3 linked regions of the Arabidopsis thaliana genome follow. The protein of the gene in region 2 interacts with the protein of the main gene of each other region in a biochemical or structural test. Each region holds a gene or a part of one and is shown on either strand. Other genes may lie near its edges.

Evidence for each region.
Region 1: the proteins of VTI1B (region 2) and SYP41 form a complex in vitro, tested with the Arabidopsis thaliana proteins (one study listed by BioGRID).
Region 3: the proteins of VTI1B (region 2) and AT2G43160 form a complex in vitro, tested with the Arabidopsis thaliana proteins (one study listed by BioGRID).

What each region holds. Positions count from the first base shown.
Region 1 is NC_003076.8:9,487,069-9,493,396, forward strand, and holds SYP41 (syntaxin of plants 41), read right to left. Parts: upstream 4,025-6,328; 5' UTR 3,537-4,024; coding exon 3,337-3,536; intron 3,153-3,336; coding exon 2,876-3,152; intron 2,777-2,875; coding exon 2,687-2,776; intron 2,454-2,686; coding exon 2,382-2,453; intron 2,286-2,381; coding exon 2,211-2,285; intron 2,094-2,210; coding exon 2,028-2,093; intron 1,936-2,027; coding exon 1,855-1,935; intron 1,764-1,854; coding exon 1,656-1,763; 3' UTR 1,065-1,655; downstream 1-1,064. Other genes in the region: AT5G26970 (uncharacterized protein), read right to left, coding at 1-318; AT5G26990 (Drought-responsive family protein), read left to right, coding at 4,298-4,373, 5,132-5,274, 5,552-5,629, 5,950-6,212. UniProt on the Arabidopsis thaliana protein: Contributes to the regulation of secretory and vacuolar transport pathways in the post-Golgi network, and to the maintenance of the Golgi apparatus and trans-Golgi network (TGN) morphologies. Together with VTI12, required for membrane fusion.
Region 2 is NC_003070.9:9,213,496-9,219,303, reverse strand, and holds VTI1B (Vesicle transport v-SNARE family protein), read right to left. Parts: upstream 3,535-5,808; 5' UTR 3,202-3,534; coding exon 3,105-3,201; intron 2,445-3,104; coding exon 2,386-2,444; intron 2,297-2,385; coding exon 2,108-2,296; intron 1,932-2,107; coding exon 1,761-1,931; intron 1,664-1,760; coding exon 1,511-1,663; 3' UTR 1,294-1,510; downstream 1-1,293. Other genes in the region: AT1G26665 (Mediator complex, subunit Med10), read right to left, coding at 3,878-3,949, 4,038-4,127, 4,211-4,313, 4,401-4,481, 4,571-4,794; AT1G26660 (Prefoldin chaperone subunit family protein), read right to left, coding at 5,539-5,610, 5,768-5,808. UniProt on the Arabidopsis thaliana protein: Together with either SYP41 or SYP61, required for membrane fusion; the fusion of phospholipid vesicles containing SYP41 or SYP61 and VTI12 is triggered by YKT61 and YKT62.
Region 3 is NC_003071.7:17,945,617-17,954,565, reverse strand, and holds AT2G43160 (ENTH/VHS family protein), read right to left. Parts: upstream 6,767-8,949; 5' UTR 6,296-6,766; intron 6,214-6,295; exon of another isoform or gene 5,896-6,213; intron 5,769-5,895; exon of another isoform or gene 5,740-5,768; 5' UTR 5,683-5,739; coding exon 5,648-5,682; intron 5,545-5,647; coding exon 5,493-5,544; intron 5,254-5,492; coding exon 5,174-5,253; intron 5,085-5,173; coding exon 5,006-5,084; intron 4,907-5,005; coding exon 4,823-4,906; intron 4,705-4,822; coding exon 4,559-4,704; intron 4,292-4,558; coding exon 3,989-4,291; intron 3,783-3,988; coding exon 3,741-3,782; intron 3,653-3,740; coding exon 3,554-3,652; intron 3,481-3,553; coding exon 3,287-3,480; intron 3,040-3,286; coding exon 2,804-3,039; intron 2,726-2,803; coding exon 1,876-2,725; intron 1,787-1,875; coding exon 1,299-1,786; 3' UTR 897-1,298; downstream 1-896. Other genes in the region: AT2G43180 (Phosphoenolpyruvate carboxylase family protein), read left to right, coding at 1-29, 115-253, 335-534, 609-645, 729-847; AT2G43150 (Proline-rich extensin-like family protein), read right to left, coding at 8,035-8,673. UniProt on the Arabidopsis thaliana protein: May have a role in transport via clathrin-coated vesicles from the trans-Golgi network to endosomes. Stimulates clathrin assembly. Binds to membranes enriched in phosphatidylinositol 3-phosphate (PtdIns(3)P). Plays an important role in protein trafficking.

The sequences.
Region 1 (6,328 bases), on a different chromosome or scaffold from region 2:
TTTTCTTTTTGAGTTTAGAATTGCAGGAAACAAATCAGAGATTTGAGTTGGAAAAAAAAGTGATTTCCGTTGCATATTAACATTACCTTGAGCTGTTGTTTCTCTAATTAGGGCTTCGATTATTTTTACCGGTGAAAACCCATAAGATTCCATGTTTGATTTGTTAATCGACGTTGAATCTTCACCGGAGTCGATGTTTGACGGCGAAGGATGAAGTCGGGAAAACTTTGGATTCTCATCCAGTACGTGTATTGGTTTCTCTCCAGCAGAAGACACGTGGCTTTGGATAGAGACAAAAGATAATATTTCTTCTTCCATAGACGGTTTCTCTGTTGGGCTTTAGTTGGGCCTAATATGTTTCTGTAGCTTTTTTGTTCTGGGGTATTTCATAATCCATGTAATATTTGACTTAAACAATAAAATTATCCCTATTGCGAAAAAAAGACTAAAACCATCAACTACTTTTTTTCATTTTATTTTTGTAAATAAATATATAACCAATAATTGGTAAACATCCATTGTAAATAAGATAACTATATTTTAAATGATAATTGGTAAACATCCATGCACATGTTGTTTGAGGTTTTTTTTTGGTTATACATGTTCAAGGATTTTATTGAAGCACTATATATAATATAAGTTTTAAATTTATTATATACATGCTACATTTAAAAAAGATAAAATATTATCATAAATTTTAAAAAATTCTTAGATATGTAATTTATTATATTTAAAGGTAATTTAAAGAATCATTAGAAACAGATAAAAAAAATAATGTGCTATCCAGGATAATACTATCTTTTTTAAGCGCTGATATAATCATTATTTAATTTTTTTTTTATATTTTTCTTTTAAAAACCCTCCAGCTAATTATCTACAAAAATAATAACACAAATTTAATATTAAAATTATAATTTTTGTCAACAGTATGATTATAATATGGGTTTGAACCATGATAATGACACAATAACAATACAAGTTCAATTAGGCTATTTGGCATGACCAATTTCAAACTAGAGTTGAGAACTTGAGATGTAATTTAATTCATATTAACTCATCACAAAAACGTGTATAAAGTTTTCATTGTTTCAAGTGAAAAATATTTATACATTTGTAAATGATATATGTTTTTAAAAGAACTAGAATGTTGAGAATTTGTAATTTATGCGAAGATACAATAACCGGAAAGTAAAAGATTTCAAACAAACTCGTTTTCACATTTGAATACTCCACCATGTAGTGCTCGCAGCTACGATTCCATCTTGCCCGAAATCTGGTCACTCCAATGAACGTCTTCACCGGAAAATCCACAAGTTACAATGGTCAAAACCATTTTGTCAAAAACAAGTTCCAACAACTATGACTGGAATCTTATACATTTTAAAAGAACACTTGACTTTAGCGTGAAGAGAGTATTTTGGCGTTGGTGCACAGATCTCTCAACTCCTCAGACATCGACCTCTGACTATCTATGGTCTTCTTCTACACAATAATATTACGTACTAACTACTCTGCAAAGGATCTTAGTATTGTTAAATGCAAAGAAGTTGAAACCAAAAGCCCTGAAGGAAAACATGCGATGTTCGGGGCTAAAGAATGAAATAGTTAAGGATCGAACTTTTCTTATTGATCTAACCAGGGATTATAGTATCCGATCACAAGAATATTTCCTTGAGGATTAAGAGTAGCAGCATGATGAAACAGAGGATGACAAGCACGGATGCGCACTTCACCATACCTCCATGTCTCTGCGTTCGCTCTGCCTGTGAAGTTTTTTTATGCGATCCACTTCATTTAGAATTGGGACAAACAAATAGTTGGACATTAATGTTGAAGAGAGAACACTATTTTTACCTTCTGTAGTTGTTTGAGACCATCTTCAACAGTAGTAGCGACGTTTTCGATATTATAGTCTATCCGATCAACTATTGTACCCTGCAATTAAACGGGTTGCTTTGAGTTTGTTTTTCGAAAGGAAGAAGACTCAAAAGCTAGACAAAGAGAATATGGGATTAAATAAGTTTAACCTGATCTATCACAAGTGCAGAAAGATCCTTCATAATTTGAGCAAGATCGTTTACTGATTCTACAACCTGGACAATGACACAGACAACGAAGAAGAAAAAAGATTATGATTGATTGCAAAAGAAAAAAAAAAACGTTGGTGAGCTACAAACAACTAAGAACAAAGACGTAGTGCAAGCACTTGCCTGTTGTATCTCTTTCTCCCTCTCTACAGATACTTCTTCACTCTTTTTTATCTTTGACATCTGATGCTCGTTTAACTAAAAAGGAATCGAGAAAAAATTCCATCAATAAAGAAGACATAAGACGAATGATTGCTTTAAATCGATAGAATGAAACAGGTATAGGAGTCAAACCATATCGCCAAAGTCATCCTCTTCAGGTCTATATCTGTTTCTGCTCAGATTCATCTCTAAATCCATCCCATCCTGATAAATGATAATACATTTCAAGTCAAAGCTTCTTGAGAGGACAGAATAATATACTCTGAAAAAACAAGTACTAAAAGAATCTATCATCTATGAAATCGATGTAAAGAAGTTTCATTTGAGGCGGAGGAGCAGAAAGCAAACAAAAACTTCAAAGAATGAGACACTGCAACATCACATAGTTTCCGGTATAAGAAATGCCAATTACACTAAAATAGATAATAGTTTCATACCTCTTTTTGCTGCCTCAAGCGTTTCAAATATGTTGACTGTTTTTTGCGAAGCTCCATAGAAAGAAGTTGGAGGTCAGTGGCAAGAGACCGCTGTTATTAAACACACATGATAAATCTTAGATAGCAATGGCAAATGCAGCAAAAAGAAAGGAAATGTGTTAAGAGCAGCTTCCATCAAGTCAAAACTACCTGCACATTTTTCCTAACATTTGAATCTTCAGAAGGCCCTGAAGCAGAAAGCCTCTGAAGTTGCTTCTCAGACTTCTTCAATAGAAAAGTTATCTCCTGTGTCAAAGACTCAATATTATGTTGATCTTCTTTACCATCCCCAAACGATGGCATTAACGCCTTGGCATGAGCCTTTCCCAACTCAGCCATTTTAGTCCTTGCACGCTGTATATTCACAGATATCTCCTCAGAGACATCAACCCAAGCTGGTGGTAAGCCCACTGTTATCGCACCTTTACTAAAACATGACCAAAAATATCTCAGTAACTACTAACTCTCAGCTTAACGTAGCTCACAGACATTTACTTCAACTACACTATCAATGATGTATTATCATTCTCATTGCTAAGCTAATCATTTCCAGTTAACCCTAATTGATCAAATTGTTCACCATTTTCACTGATAAAGAGAGAGAAGAGTACCTAGAAGTTCCAGGATCTTCGGTACTAATAGGAGCGTAAGAGCGATTCGGATTCAATAACGAAGTACTCGCCATCTCGATCACCGGACCAACGCCGCCGGATCGTGTTCCCGTCAATGAAGATGACGACAATGGAGCTCTGACGCTTCTCAGAGAGTTTCTGTACTTCCTAAACAGCAACGTACGATTCCTCGTCGCCATGATCGTCAAAATTTGAAATCCCTAGAATCTCAATTTCACATCCAAATTCGAAATCAGCTCCGATCTGAACACAATCGCGGCTTCATCATCGACCGAGAATAAAACCGAACACAAAAATTGGGACTCCGACAAGGAAGTGCTCGGAGAGCGGCGAGATCAAAACTTTTTCCGATGAGGAAAGTAAACTCTCAGATTTGCAAATTGAGGTTTTCACTTTTCACTATTTCCCCAAAACTTAAAACTTTGGAAACAGTAAAAAAAAAAGTTAAAAAACAGTTGCGCGGCTAACTTTGTCCTGTTTCACCAGCTTACCAAATACAAACCAATAATATTTCGACACGTAAGCGTCGTACTAACAGCATGACGTTTTGATATTCCAAAAGGGAAAAACACGGCGGGTAAAAGGTTTAAACGGCATGCATTCGTGCGGGCTGTTAAAAAACAATTTAATACATGTAATAGAACTCATCTCTTCTATGTCTTTCACTCTCTCTCTCTCTCTATATCCAAAGAATTAAAAACCATAATAAAAAAAGAAGATAAAAAGACGAATTCCAGAAAAAAAAGACGCAAAATCGTCGTCGTCGTCTTCGTCTTTGCATTTCGTCGGAATCTTTTGATTCTTGAATCGGAATATCTCTGTTTTTGTTTTATCCGGACTCAAGATCAATTCGGATTCTTGGAATTTATTTGATTTTTTGTTGTTGTTGTTGAAAAAGTGGATTCTTTGGTTTCGATTTGTAATAATCTTCGTAGAAAAAATGGATTCTGATTCTTGGAGTGATCGTCTCGCATCGGCTTCAAGAAGATATCAGCTCGATTTCTTGTCTCGATCTGGTGAGTTTGATAAAAATTATAACTTGGATTTGTTCTTTCTTAATTTGAGATTTGATTGGTTTTGTCTTAAATTTAATCTTGATTCTATTGCAAAAATATCAATGATATTTAGACCTCAAATTTGTTTTCTTTTGAATTGATCAAGGATCGAGATTGACTGTAAGAGATTGACATTTTTGTTACTGTTCTGGTTTTCCGAACAAAATGGGACAAGACATTGATTGTGTCTTGTTCTGAATATTTGAAATGGTGATTGTTCAAATGTTTGTTTTGCTGATATTGAATTTAAGGAAAATGGAGGAAATAAATTCTGTCTTTTGAGGCATTTTACTAATGTGAGGCTTTAGGGATTGATTAAGCGTGTGTGTTTTGTTTCTAGGTTTTGGTATGAACTTAATGTCAAAAGCTGGAATCTTGATGATTCTTGTTTGACTTACAAGTAAATACAAAACTTCTTGTTGGTAAAAACGTTTTTAAAAGCTTTAGTTTCATCTCAAACTTAGACGTCTTTGCCAGGGAAGGTTTTATGATCTACTAGTTTCCATTCGTTTATTTAGATATCTTTGATGTTTCTTCTGAAACCCATTTGTATTGGAACTTCGAGAATGGAACGCGTTTTTAGTATTTCCCATTTTATTTTCTAGGCTTTTGTTTTGTAGTTGTCATTTTATTTTCTAGGCTTTTGTTTTGTAGTTGTCACATTTTCGAATGTTCTCTTGGCCGTGTTTGACTAGTTTCTTCATTTTTGAAAAACGCAGACAATTTCTTGGGGTTTGAGGAGATAGAAGGAGAAGATGACTTCAGGGAGGAGTATGCTTGCCCGTTCTGTTCAGACTATTTTGATATCGTCTCTCTATGCTGTCACATTGATGAAGATCATCCTATGGATGCAAAAAATGGGGTAGATATTTCCTCAATGTTACCTTTCTCTCGTTTTGAATCAAAATCTATTTATTGTTTCATCATATCATTCTTGGTAAGAGCACTGTTCTATGTTTAGTAGTTACTGGTCTTGGATATAAAGAAAGTGAAAGTAACCTAATGAAATGCGTCGAAATAGTATTTGGAATTGCCACTCAGTGTTCCTCAGAGAAGAAATCAACTCTAGGACACTTGTTTATTGCTACAATAGCAAGATTTGTTTTCAATTCTGCGTTTTGACATTGTTAATCTTGTAGGTATGTCCCATTTGTGCGGTGAAAGTGAGCTCTGATATGATTGCTCATATAACCCTACAACATGCAAATATGTTCAAGATATCCTTTTTGCTCTCTCTACCAGTTATATTTTTAACGATCATGTACTTATCTGATTCTTCCAATGAGTTGTGTTAATGATATGAATACTTCCTGATTTATGATTTAGGAAATAGTTTAGGATTTACTTTTCCTAGAGTCTTTTATTTATGTTCTGTTAGAAGTAAGGGTTAGGTTTTGTTTGTGAAACCTAACCAAGCAATTGAGAGCTTTGGAGGATTCTATTGAGTTTATACTCTTGTTGCTTTATTGTTCTATCTTTTCTACTATCATAATAAAGATTTTATCTCTAACAGTTACATTCCTTAACAAAATATTACGTGACGCGGAAAAGGAAATCAAGAAGAGGCGGGGCTCAATCCATGCTATCGATCTTGAAGAGAGAGTTTCCTGATGGAAATTTTCAGAGCCTATTTGAAGGAACATCACGTGCTGTATCCTCTTCTTCTGCCAGTATAGCTGCTGATCCTTTACTGTCTTCATTCATTTCACCAATGGCTGATGACTTTTTCATTTCTGAGTCAAGTCTATGTGCAGACACAAGTTCTGCCAAGAAAACATTGAATCAGAGTTTGCCTGAAAGGTATGCTTCCACATTCTCATTTGGATTACACTTCTGGATGATATCCTCATTGATTTCTTGATCATTCTTGTTAAGTCATCGCATATTACTCATCCTTAGTTTTTATGAGCCTTAAT
Region 2 (5,808 bases):
TTGTTGATCTTCGTGAAGAATCTTAGCACAAGAATCAAAATGATAGCACAAAAGACCAAGTTTCAGAAACTTTTTTTGAAATTGTAAGGTGTGACTTGTGATTGACACGAATGGGTTTATATGCCTTGGAGATGAAGCTAATCCATCTTATAGACTGCTGACGTCTTTTTTCGCTTCTTTTCAATGCACTAGTATCTACAAATTAATTATGAAATTACAATGTTTTAAATTAATGTAGAAATTAATTATTTCAAATCACACAATTATTTGAATCAATTATGAAAACTGATAACTAATTTAACATCAATTGTTTACAAGTAATAGAAATATTGGCATGCATAAATTATTATATATGTTACAAATATTAACATCATTTAAATTAAATGATGCGAATTTTAACATTATTTTTTGTAATTGATATATGTTAAGATCGATTTACAAGAATCGATACAAAATATTTGCATCACTACTTTCAAAAGTCACTTTTTTTAGTGATGTAAATGTTTTTCTTGCCATCAATTATAAGTTTATAACTAATAAAAATATATAAAATAAATGATGTAAAAACACACATTTTTTTTGTAGTGATTGTACTTGATTAGTACTCAAATCATTTTGTCATCACATCAATCAAGTGTATATGCCTAAAATTTTAAAGAGTAGATTAATTAATCTCAAAACTCTTTCATTTGGTGGTTAAGTGAATTATTTCCGGCGAATGGGAGGAAATTCTTGATCATTAAAGATTATTTTCAATCACTCGTCAATCTATCCCTGCTTACGAAGAAGGGATTTATAGGGTGGAATGGGTTAACGAGTTTGAAGACCAGAACGTGTGGTTTAAAACATAACAGGGGCTGAGATCATAGAAAACATAATTCACGACAGAAACACATGCTCTAGCTGCGTTATGGACGGGCCGGGACTGCATAAAACTATTTGTTTCGGGGATAGTTTTACTTGTTATGTTTGGCTTGTGTGTATTTTTTGGTGTCGTGAATGTTTGATGTTATTTTAAATAGAGAGATAGAAGGAGAGGCCTTTGTTTCATGCTCTGACGTGACAGTGGGTCTCCTGCCTGCGACTGGTGATCACGGCAAGATGATTGGTCCGGCAAGGATGTGTCAGGTGTCCTAGTTTTCTTAAAACATTATAAGTATAGATCTTTGGCTCATGTAAAGACTTGGAAAACCTTATGTTTTGAGCAATGGAGTGTTTGTTCTTTTTGGAATTACATTGTTGTAAGTTTTCAAAGGTTGGACTTGAGATGTAAGTGGAAGTTTCCACAGTTGTAACTTTTGAAACATCTGCTTTATATAAAATAGTACCACTTTTTTGGAAAAAAAGACAAAAAAGAAAAGACTTGGGAAACCTTATGAATGTTAAAAGTGTTGCCACTTCAATACAAACATCGTACTTAAAAATACAAGTAACCACTTGGGCCATTACAAAGTAAATCAACCATCATATATATATACACAATCACGATGAATAATGTTTTTTGAGTATATTAATGAGAAAGCTTGTATGAGATGATCAAGATGATGGCGAGAACGAGAGCCACGATTACCGATGTAATGATCCATTTGTTCCTAGTCATTCTCCTTGACATAGCCGTCAACACCTTCTTGCTCTTGTCAATGGCGTCATCCACACCATGAAGCTGTGATTCAAAATCAGAAAAGTTAGCTTCTCAATGATCTAATTCAAACAAATCATTGGCACTGATAGATACCAAACCGAGCAATTGTAGACGGTACCTTGTTGTGCGCATGAAGGAGGGTTTGGCGTTGCTGACTCAAATCTTGGACAATTGAGATGCCAACCTCTTCTGTCTCCAGCATTAGTCTTCTACTCTCCCTGATTCTGTCACTTGATTGGTCAAGCCTCTCCACGGACATTGCCAATCTTCCTCTTTGATCAGCAGATACCTGGAACATGGACAATAATGTAAATCACAGCAAAGTCTTTGCCATCTAAAAGTTTGTGTGAAGATGAATATAAAGGAGGGTCCCCTCAGGACAAAGAAGCCTAACTGATGCAAGTCAATTAAGACAACTAAGATAATGAGAAAACAAGAGTTTCTATTTAGGAGTTAGAAGCTTACTGCATGCAGATCCGCCATTCCGGATTCCATCAACTCTTCACGGGAAGACGGCTTAGCATCTGCGGAAGAGACTCGTTTGAATTCCTTCTTCAATTGGTTCAGATCAGATTTATACTCTCTTAGTTTAGAAAGACACACAGCTTTAGCACTCGGCTGCAAACTTCTTGCCTCAAGATCCATTTTCCGGATCTACAAAAAAACCACAGAAGCATATATATTAATTTTAAAAAAGAAAGAACAGAACGGTAACAACATTAAAGCAAGTTAAATGCAAATACCAAGACATCAGCTTCGTCTATTCCAGACTTGATCTCAGCAATCTTCCCCTTCTTCTCCTCTATAAAAGCACACAACAATATCTAATCAAACCTCTACTCTGGTTCTATGGCACCACAAAATGTAACAACTCCATGCATGTCTATGTACTATAACTCCAAGAAAGACAGTGGTAACCATAGACTGACAAACAAATGAAAAAAAACACCAACTCAATAAACCTCTGCAGCTACATAACTAGGTTCTTATGATCTTATCTTCAGTCTTAATTTCTTCACAAAACTACTTGACCAATCCAAGTAAATTACATTCCCAGATACTACAGAACTCGTCAGATCGTAAACAAGCTAAAACGATTAGTAAACACTCATGCACCTCTACTTTACAAATACCCCCAAATTCGGACAAAATTAGATGAAATAGATTGAGAAACAAGTTAATAAATCTATGCAACTACATAACTATCTAGACCTAACTAGGTTATCGTCTTCTAATCCAAGCAATGAGAAACAGATCCTATGTCTCAACATTCCTAAATGTTACAAAACTTCGTCAGATCCTAAACAAGTCAGGACGATTAGTAAAGAACACTAGTCCACCAGCTACTTGTCACAGCTCAAAAGCTCCAATAACCCCAAATTCGAAGATTCGAATTTCTAAAATCAGGTAAATTCGAAGATCTCGCGTTCAAGATCCGAAATCGGGAGCGTCTGGATTTTACCTCCGTTGGAGAGAACCGATGCAGAGTGACATTTTCTAGAGAGATTGGTTGAGAGCTCGCAGTATTGACGCTCGTACCCTTCAAATACGTCGCTCATCTTCAATTATATGTTTCGATCTTGAGAAATTTGGTGGATTTTTTCTGATCAATCGGATCCTTTGTTTGATTGGATTGGATCGGATCTAGAAGCAAAACAGTTTCCTCTTTGCTTAAAGATAATCAAACAACTCTTCTTCTTCTTCCTTTGTATTTCTCTGCTCGGGGACAAGGAGGAACAATCAAACAAAGCGGTGCGTTTTATATTGACACGTGTCAGCCACTGCGTATTAAGTCCCCCATGCTGCAATCGATGCAAATGTAGGTGAGACAAACCAAACCGAATCAAACCGTTAATTAAGATTGAAATCTAAGTGTCTTTTCTCACTTTTTCAGCTCTCGGAAATAGTGTACATTTTATGCAGAACCAAGATTACTCGTCCAGGAAATAGACAAATCCATTGATAGAAGTCGAATCTGTTTTGCGTAACTATGTGGGATTCTTTGATAGTCTCATGAAATCAAAGAGATCTCAGAGGCTAAGAGTAAGATAGTCCACTCGAGTAAAAATGGGGGGAACAAGCAGAGATTCTCAAACTATATTAGCCAGGTGAAGAGAACCAACAGATATTATTAGAAATTCCACTTGGGATTGTTCGTGTTACATCACATTCATCGACTCAGTCATTATATTCTACAAGAGTACAAGGTAAACATAAAAAGGATCCTTTGGGCTCTTATAGCTCATTCTTGACCTTTGCATCCCCATTTGGTAACACACTTTGCGATTGCGCCAACCGTTTCGCTTCCTGAATATGACCAAAACTGTTTAATCCCCTTGACTTACTATAATATATTAATGAAGATGTACAATACTAGTCGAAGTTAACAACTTACAGCAGCAGAACTAGCACGGATTTCTCTATACATATCGACTTCATCAGGGAAATTCTGTTCAAGCTCCTCCAGAATATGTTTTCTCAAATCCTATTTATAACAAAATGTTGATTAAGAGACTCAGTAACCTTAAGAATCATACACAAATTAAGAATCAGAAGAAAAGGAGTCACCTTAAAAGCATCAGTCTTGCCCTTAGTAACTTGATTTCTAGCTATGCAGCTATTAAGAACATCTTTCGTAAACTCATCCGGGTTCTTCCCATCATCAATCAAGCTATACGAAAACGCAAACATAAGTAAGCAAGTAAAAGTATCTATCTTCAAAGTGCATACTAAAAACAAAAAGGACTTGTTTTCTCACTTAAGAACCTCCATGGGGATTTGAATGTTGCATTTCTCAGACAACTTAGTCATGTTATCTAGCTCCATCACAAGAGAGTTACTGCAAATACACACACACACACATATTCATTCAAACAATAGTTACAATACCCAAAACAATAAACACAGATGAGTAGAGGAGTTACTTACAGGCGCTGGAGGAGATGGAGTTGAGACGCGGGTGTGAAAGAAGTGACGGTAAGGTGTAACTGATGAAGGACTCCTAAAGTTTTCTCAATAGAGTTTATGACTTGGGAAAGATTCTCCTTTGAATCATCAGCAACGGTCACAGTTGAAGTCCCATCATTGGTTTGATATCTGATTGTACCATTGCTCCCACCAATCCCTGCACTTGTGTTCTGTGTTGGATCCATCACAAGCTGCCACAAAATATAAACTTGAGATATATGACCTGATGCGTTAGCGATAACAAAACAAAAACGAGAAAACGCAATTTTCGATCTCAAAATCAAACGAAAATTCTTCAGAAACCTTATTCAATTGGAGTGGATTTTGGTATCCAAATTTCTAATTTTAGATGCAAATTCCACAAAAACGCCCAGATCAAGAATAACGATAACAATAACAATTAGCGTAGAATGAAGATCCGTGACTTACCTACAACAGAGATGCGTTTGGCGAGAGTGAGGTGGAGATTCTCCGGACGAATTAGGTTTTCCTCCGAGCCTTACCGTGAAAACCGAAAAGGGACCGACGAAGACAGGGAAGCGGAAGATATTTGGACACTTTGCTGACGTGGAATATCATTATCTTGTATCTGTTTCGTTCATACTTTTATTTCATTCTTCATCAGCTGTGTTAAACTGTTAATGATCTTCTAAGTTCTAACATGTGATTATTAATATTTAAAATAGAAATGGCAGATTTAACAGAGTGCGATTCACTATTCACCCCCACAACAATAGTCATTCTATAAAGTTTTGATTGCTTAATCGATATGTTTATCTAACACCAACAGTTTGGTCCATTCCGGAGAAAGAGTTAGTATTGAACAAACTAAGTTAATTCTCTGCTTTAAAAACTCAAAACAGTAAGCAGAACAAATCGAGAAGATAAGACTGCAAGAGAAAATCCTCAACTTTCCACTAGGTAGTGTACTAAAACGCACGTTGCCGGGATGACGGATTCTCTTCAGGAAGATTGAGTATTTGCTGAATCTGGTAATGAGCCTGCAATGGTAATTTAACATTAATACTTATCCGATGACACTTTCATATATCCGTCTGATGCAGGGTTCCTACGCAATAGTGATTTTCTAGTCCAATTCAACCTCATAAGACAAATGATTGACTACTATCACAAAGCAAGATAAGAACTTGAACTTACCAGTTTGATGCGCCCTTTGATCTGCGTAATAACACCAGTAT
Region 3 (8,949 bases), on a different chromosome or scaffold from region 2:
TGATTGGAGTATCTATTCAAGCAATGCAGGTCACAATCTTTCTGTTTCTGCCAATAATGTGTTGACTTCACTGTGGTGGCAAAGAGACTTAAGAACTATGTGGAACACTTGCAGGACGCTCTATTGGCAATCAAGGGTGGGCGAATTCCTCCACCAGGAAGCATGGCGTCTTTAGAAGAAATTGGAGAGATTCTTGGTTTTGACACTTACGAGGAAGAAGAGAAGCGGTACGCTACCTCGTCATCAGATAGAGGTGAGACATGGAAGTTTTCAGTTGTAACATCTTTGGGAAATGTCAAATCAATAACTAAATATATGTTTTATCCTTTTCAAGAAGTGAGCAGCAGTAGCGTCTATCGTAATCAACGGGTGGCTAAAGATGATCCAGAACAGAGAGAGGACCTGATTGTTGAAGTCATAACACCTGAGGTTTATAATGAACCAAGAAACCCCTTTTCGCGGATCTGGTCACGATCTTTGAGGATCAAAATCATCGGACGCGATGGGTTTGAGAAACTCGATGTCAGAATTCCGGTAAGTCCACTTTCGAGGGCCATTTTTCGTGTTTTATCTGAGCTGATGCAAAACTTGTCTTATGGTTGGAACAGGCCGGATTCTTGGAAGGTGTCACAAACATTGTTCCAGGTATTCAAAAACTCCTAAGTCTCTCTTATTCTGTTTCAGTTTTCTTAGGCATAGTTATTGACAGATCCTCAAAAAATTCGCAGCTTTAGGAGGCGTGAACTTGAAGCAATTGATGGACGATGCAGCAGATGAGGTCGGAGGGAAAATTTTGTTAGATTTTAAAGACACTGCAGGTGACAGAATCCAAGTCTTTCTAGAATGACACACACCTAGTGAAGAAAAAGTAAATACAGCCGGGAAACATTTAAAAAGAGAATACAAAAATGTAAAGATTTTATTTGTTCCGTGAATGAGAAATGTATTACACATCTTCAAAATAAAGAAATAGAAGTGAATGTGTATATATCAAATTATATGCATATAACAAAAAAAGGGCAGACCCGAGCAAGGTTTGCCACTCTCACACTGGTACAAATTTCACAACAAGCTCTCAATTTGGTCCAAACCAGAAAAAAATAAAAATGAATGATGAGTGACGAGTAAGGCAAGAACAAACAGAGAAGAAAATTCGTGGAGCCGTGTTGCCTGGATGAATAATGTAACCTGAGTACTTTTATCGACTGATATTACATATCCCAGAGTAAAGAAAAAGCACAGGCGAGCGTATTCTTGATTACACGAATGAAGTCAAGTGCATCATGTTTGGCTTGATCTTACCGGTATCCACCACCATAGGATTGTTGAGGGTTGTAACCACCTTGACCCATCATCGGATTGTAGTTATTGCCAGGCATGTTTGGGCTAGGTACCATCCCTGGGTTTTGTGGTTGCATCGGATAGCCTTGGCCATATCCTCCCATGTTCATGTTCATGTTCATGCCGGGTCCCATTCCCATACCCATCGGTTGGTTTTGGTTCATTCCGGCCCCCATACCCATACCCATGGGTTGGTTCTGGTTCATACCTCCGTAGCTACCAACACCCATTCCTCCGCCCATGGGCATGCCAGAGCCTGTCATTGGATTAGGTGGAGGTCTCATAGCAGTTGCACCAGAACGCCCTAAGCCAGTGCCTGATCCCATGGCTTTACCCATATTGATAGTCGATGTTGCTGGTGTGTTTGTTTGTTTCTCCAGCCGTTTCTCTCTCCTGTTGATCGCCTCGAAGTCAACTCCTATGTCTGCCAATGGATTTGTTTTAGCTGCGATAAGTAGAAAAACAAAAACAATGTTAGAAAGTTTGCTAAAGACGTTTTTTTTTCCTTAAATGGTATGGTGAAATCTATCTTACATCCAGATATGTTAAAGTTAACAAGCCCCCTGCTCAACGTGTCTGCCCAGACTGATGATTTTGGCTCAAACTTTTTCTGAGGCGGAGGAACAATCTCAATTGCTCCTGTTAAAGGTGTGAGATCTGGATGAGATGATGATGACGTCAAGGAGTTGGGCGTAGCTTGCGAGAACATGTCTCCCATGACATTGTTGTTCCCTTGCAGAGTAACAGGTCCGGATTGAGTTCGTTGTGGACCATGGGATGGCGGCATTCCATGACCTTGGTGTGCCATGAACTGACCAGCTGGTCCACTTGGGGTAGAGTAAGGAGTTTGTGAGCCCGGCTGGTGCATGAAGCCTCCACTATTAAATGGCATGGCTCCAGTCATATTTTGAGAATGAGGAACCATGTTATATGGTTGAACAGCTTGTCCAAATGGAGTTTGTCCAGGCAGGTTTGGAGCTGTAGATACCGGCGGCTGAGAATGAAATCCCTCGTACATGTTGTTTCCACTGGGAGGAAATTGAGATGTTGGTATTGAGGGACCCGATTGTACTGGAGGTCCAGATGGTGGGAGAATGCCAGCGAGGATATCAATACCACTCTGAGATGTAGCAAATTGCTCTTGAGGAAAACCTGGTGAGTTCGATGGAGGTTGCACATTCTGAGAAGCAGGATCAGGATTGGCAACGGCGGAAAATGAGTCCCCAAAGCCAAAGTTATGAGCAGTATCAGGATGTGAGACCTCTGAAGTGAAGGCTGGAGGTGGTGGCTGGAAAGAAGCTCCAAAATTCTGCTGTGGGGTTGAGTCGGTGTCAGTAGAAGTGAAGGCCTTGAAAGGAGAGTCACCAAATGGGTCATCAAATGACTGCATAATCCAAACAACAGTCATCAATAATCATAGGAAACCATCATAATCTTCATACTCCAAGCTCAGTGTATATACCTGAGTTGATGGCTGAGATGTAGAAAACGATGGAGCTGGACCAGCGTTTGCTTGTCCATTGGTTTCAACATAGATAGAATCAGCTGGTACAATGGCCAATGCGTTTGATGAAAATACGTCTGCAAGGGAACCAAGCAAGTCCATCTCAACACTGTTTGAGGTGGTAGGGGCAGACATAGAAGTCACAGTTGGAGGAGCTGTAACACCATCTGTAGATGCATATGCTGGAGGGCCAGCTGGAAAAGTAAAGGAACACAACGGCCACACTCAGAACAAGCAGAGTTTAATGGGATAGAAATATACCATACAGACATGAGAATACAATCATACACCCTCCAACTAAGCCTTGAAACATTTACTGAATTAGTTATAGTTATTGATTAAAGATTTTCATGTAATCTCTATGCTGCCGAGGAGTTTGAAAAACTAAGAAAATATCTCAAGATACAACTAAAGAATTGCAAGAGTTTGAGTATTCTGTACCTGAAAACGCACTGCGTGGATCAAATTCATCGAAAGTCTCAACTTTCTGAGAAGGTGATTCATTAACAAAAGTAGCAGTTGTATTGGCTGTGTTGGTTCCAGTTGGAGGAGAAGCAGCCTCTGGAGCAGCAACTTGTGGGGGAGGAGGAGAAGCAGCTCCTGGAGCGGTAACTTGTGGGGTCTCCCCACCATCCCTGGCATAGAAAGATTCATCAGCACCAATAAAAACCAAGGTAGCTTTCAATTTTCAAAGCAGAAAATGATCACCTTTCACTATATACAGGGCTGCGTGAATCACTGACAGCTTCTTCATAACTGGGTGGAGCGCCAATATTTTGTTCAGAAAACTTCCTCTGGAGCCCCCCTCTACCATTATAATCCCGAAAGAAGGTGAGATGAGTTGTCATACAATAAAAGAATGCCTAAACTTCAGTAGAAATTTATCAGAAATTACCTCCCATCCTGAGAATTATCATCAGCTCGAGCACCACTGCCCCTACAGGACAAAAAGGAGTGTATCCATTTAAAATTTGAAAATGGAACTAGACTAAGAAGATTGCGGTTCGAAATGATTTTTAAAATCAAGGACATCTACGCTAGTATTCAAAATAAAAATATTCTATCCAAATGGAGTTGATAATCTTCAAAATTTTCCCCTTCCTTTTTTATTTCAGGATTTAGGCGACTTGAAATTTAACATACCGTGATGAAGAATGGCCATCATCCTCCCGCTCTCTTTCCGAACTCCTACCTCGTGACCCATAGTTATCAACACTTCTGCTCCTTCCCCTGTAATCATCATCCCTATTACCATCTCTCCCATACCGGTCTTCAGAGTCCCTGGAATGACGATCTCCATCACGACTATTTCTATCATCATCTCTGTAACCATATTCTCTTTCTCTTCCATAACTACTTCGCTCTTCATCCCGGCTTCCGTAATCATATTTATCCCCATATCCGCCTGAAGGCTTATACATCCCACCTGGTGCTGAGCTGCGATACCTGTTGTAAAATAATGTAGGTTGATATGTTCAGCATATTTTGAATGAACCAAAAGACATGTCATTTTTTTTTCTCGAGATAAAAACTTTCAAAATTCAGAAGCTAATACAGTTAAAGTGCCAGTACTACCAATTAATAGACTACCGAGAAGCATAATAACAATTGTAAGCCACTAGCAACAAGAAATCAAACGAGTGTCCACCGAGACTCACACAGAGAGAAAACTATCCACCAGTTCCAGAAAGATACAATGACAAGCAAACTTACTTATCTCTATTAGCAGCAGCCTTCTGTCTGACTTCAGCTATTCTTTCCTTGTCATTCACCAAAGCCACCAGGCTCTGTGATTTCTTCCTAACATTGCTTCCTTGATCTCTACCACCGGAATCAATATACTGAAAATCGGACAATGTCTGCCACAAGGAAAATAGACATATATACAAGTAAGATAGTCAACTACTGAGATATAGCACTAAAGGATTCTCTTGATGTTGAATACTTCCAAAATAATGTACTCAAGGTAGTCATTACCGAAATTTGATATGCACGTTCTCTAATCTCGTCTATAACACGTTCTGATCCATGGCCTACCATGTACTCCAAAACTGTCAAAGCCTGAAGGGGAGAGAGAAGAGGTAAACAGCATGAAATACTTTAGTCACTGCTACAGAAATTCAACACAAATTAAGCCAGCAAGACAATAATATTGTTTACCTTATAGACATGCCGCCAGTTTTTTCCGGTGTCGCTAAGGCGTTTCCATATGACCACCATGATCAGCTGATATTCATGACTGAAATAGAAGTAACATGTTTTTATAATTCCTGTGCAATGTCCAAAATCGCAGCAAAATATAGCAAGTTGGAAGGTGGTCGTAGTTACTAATTTCTGGAAGCTTGCGCAAGATCAGCAAGAAGTGATCCATGTGGACCCCATGGCTCATTACTAGTAGCATCTAGAACCTGAATAAGAGAAAGCACAGACAAAACAAGATAAGAGAAAGTTGGATATCTCGCTTTACATTGTTTAGCAAGACGATGAATGCAACCAAGATAAGCTCTCTATTTATAAAAGCCTTTTAGAAACAAATAAAGAAATTGATAAACTCAAGCATAAAAATGGAAAACAGTATCTAAATCTCTGCTGCGGAAGAATTTCTGATAAGAAGAAAAAGAGAGAAGAAGCTAAGAGCATCCATTACCTTCTGTTCTACTCCAGGAACTTTGAGCACTTTCTTGTTGACCTCTCTCTTACTGAATAAATGGAACATAAAATGAAGCATCCCGTCAATGAAAAAAGAAATAAACCACACACAGATTGAGAATATCATTAAATTTCGGGTACGAAAATACTTACAGGTCTCTAACAGTTTGTCCGAAGACTTTCTTCATCTTCGTATGTGTTCCAGGAACAAGAGTATCTTAAACAAATGTCACCTTCTATGGAGTCTGTTGTATAACTAGTATGAGCAGCTTATCTATTAACGTTTCAAACAAAGATATATATATATATCACCACAAATGTATAGATAGAACAAAAAGAAACAAACGAATCATTCTTCATCATAATCTCATTTCAATTACACAATCGTAAGAGCCAGATACATGGAATTGAGGAACGGCAACAAAGCAATCAGCAATGATCGAATTTGTCTTTGTTCAGATTCACCCTAAAACAATCTCAAGGAAGTGGAAAAAATCCCCAGCTCGTAACAAAATTTCCGAATTTTGCAACAATTAAAGGATATAAAGAAGAAGTCAAAATCAACAAAATCCGACTCCTAAGCAGACTAAAAATTCAAACGGTAACAATCAAAATCGAATAAAAAGGAAGATTCACATTCAAAAACGCAGCTCACACAGATCTTAAAGCTAATAACATCCCTCCACAAAATAGAATCACATCGAACAAGATAAAAAAATCAACCGGAAATTTAAAAATGGAAACAATAGATCCAGAAAAAGAATAATGAACATGAAAGAACAAAAAGAGCTAAGATCGTACCTGCAGAAATGTAAAATTTGACCAGAATCGGATCGTGGATCTGTCAAGGCACAGATAATAAAAGGAAGAAGACGAAGAAGAAACACTTTTGAAGGCTTTTGAAGGTGGAGGAGATTGATCGTGGATCTGCGTTTAGCTTTCGCACTTTGCCTCCTCTCTCTACAAAAATTCTCGAGTTTAGAGAGAGAGAGAGAGGAAAACAGCAGCCAGAAGAGAAAATTCAACAGATAAAATAAATAAATAAAAATGAAATAGTGAAAAAAAAAAAGAATAATACAAATAAGACAGCGCAACTAAACACGGAGAATATTATTAAGGCGCTCCAAATCAATATAATGTTTGGATTTGAAAAATCACAGCTGTTTAATTGAGAACAACATAATTATTACTTTGGTCTAACCAGTTTTATAAAGTTTCTATTCTCATATACAGTTTGGAAATGAGAAGATACAATATGCTTTATTCCAAAACTTTTGTTGGGACAAAATTGCTTTATGTCTAGTGGAGTTGGAAGCTACTAGACCTAATACTATATATTTCAGTACTGTTGAAATCAAATTAATTTATCAAAATTGTGTTTATTAGCTTCATTGAATTTCACTTCATCATTATCAAATTAATTTATCAAAATCAACTTAAGCATAACGATAAAGTTTGGAAGGTGTCGTTGCCAAACAACAAACAAAATGACGGTGACAAAAAAATTGGAGGCAAATTACCAAATACGTTTAGCCAATGGGCCTCAAAATCAGCTAATGCTATCCCAAAGCCCAAAGTACAACCACTCCACTTATTTCGAACCAATTCTTCAGCACTTGCTGCTTTTCATTTGCTTTTGTTTGGTTCCATGTTTCGATTAAATAGAAGAATATAAACTATAACTTTGATATTAATTCATTTCAACATTCTTTAATTTTAGTCAATGGTTTTGTATTAAGCATATAGTATTGCTCAATATTTTTTTTTTTTAAGGTTGAAACAAAAAGAGTAGGTGGAAATTAGTTGAATGAAAGTGAGTCTCTGACGTATTACATAAACACAATTATTAATGATCCAATGAGATCAAAGTGATGTGTTACTTCCACTTTCCCACCTTTTGAAGCAATGATAACTTTCTCTGGACGAACAGATCGAAACAATGTCGTGCCCAACCTAAAAGAATATGTCTTTTAACTTTGTCATTGGAACTACTTTTGTCGTTGGAACTATGTTTTAAGATAGAAAATGTTATGACTGTATATCGCATAATCCAAAGAAAGAAGAAACTGAACTTTGTTTTATATGCTAACAACTCTTTCATTACATTAACGGAAGAATAACAAAATAGAAAATGTATGCACAACAATTAAATTACCAAAACCCATTTTTTCACTTAACAACAAAAGGGAACAAAGAGGAGTATGATACGATCTAAAAGGGTCTTGGAAACAATTTGACTTGACGAAGACGCAAAGATAATGATGCACAAGTGGAAGATGAGCGACATTGAAGAAGAGGAAGTGATGTGGATCGTTGTTAGAGATGTTTTGTTTCTGATTTCCACGCCACGATCCTTATTTGGTTCACTTCTTCTTCTCTTTGACTTTGACCCTTCCTTTATTTCATTTTTTAAAAGAAAACCTGTGAAAGAAGAAATTCCGATTTTATTTAGGGCACAATTATTAAAACGGATTATGAGGTAAAGGTATAAGTATAGGACTTACTTGAATAATGGGGAAATTTTGTTGAATTTGATGAGCCTAGTAATGTGTGGGAGGTGGGGGAGAAGCGTAGATGTAGACAGGAGGTGGGGGAGATTTTACCGGTGGTGGTGGAGAGCTGTAAAGGTATGGTGGTGGTGGGGATTTCACCGGAGGAGGTGGGGAGTGGTAATAATATGGAGGAGGAGGAGATTTCACAGGAGGAGGAGGTGAATGGTAGTAGTATGGTGGTGGTGGGGATTTCACCGGAGGAGGTGGTGAATGGTAGTAATATGGTGGTGGTGGGGATTTCACCGGAGGAGGTGGTGAATGGTAGTAGTATGGAGGAGGAGGAGACTTCACCGGAGGAGGCGGTGAATGGTAGTAGTATGGGGGAGGAGGGGACTTCACCGGAGGAGGAGGAGAGCTGTAAACATAAGGAGGGGGAGGGGATTTCACTGGCGGCGGCGGTGAATGATAGTAATACGGTGGTGGAGGAGACTTAACCGGAGGTGGTGGTGATTTATATTCATAAGGCGGTGGAGGAGATTTAACCGGAGGAGGTGGAGATTTATACTCATACGGTGGTGGAGGAGAGCTATAGTAATAAGGTTCGGTAGCCATAGCCGAGCCAACGAGTAACGCCAACATGGCGACTACCCATTGAGCCTTGGCATGACTCCATGCCGGAGTCGCCATTCTTCACCGGATAATGTTCAGTCTTAGCTAAGACTTTTTTTCTCCAAATTATTAAAGAAGAACAAATTGGAGAAAATGTTTTTATTTTTGAGGAAAGATGAAGAAGAAGTGATTGATTGTGTTTCTGCATGGAAAAGAGTTGTTTTTATAGTGAAAAAAGTAGTCGTTGGAGGTGGGCTTTGTTCTTTAGGGACTAATTCTATATCTTCGTTATTTTTTTCCTATAGTTTTTTTTTAATTTTGCTATTAGCTGGCAATTATTGGTTTTCTTAGTTT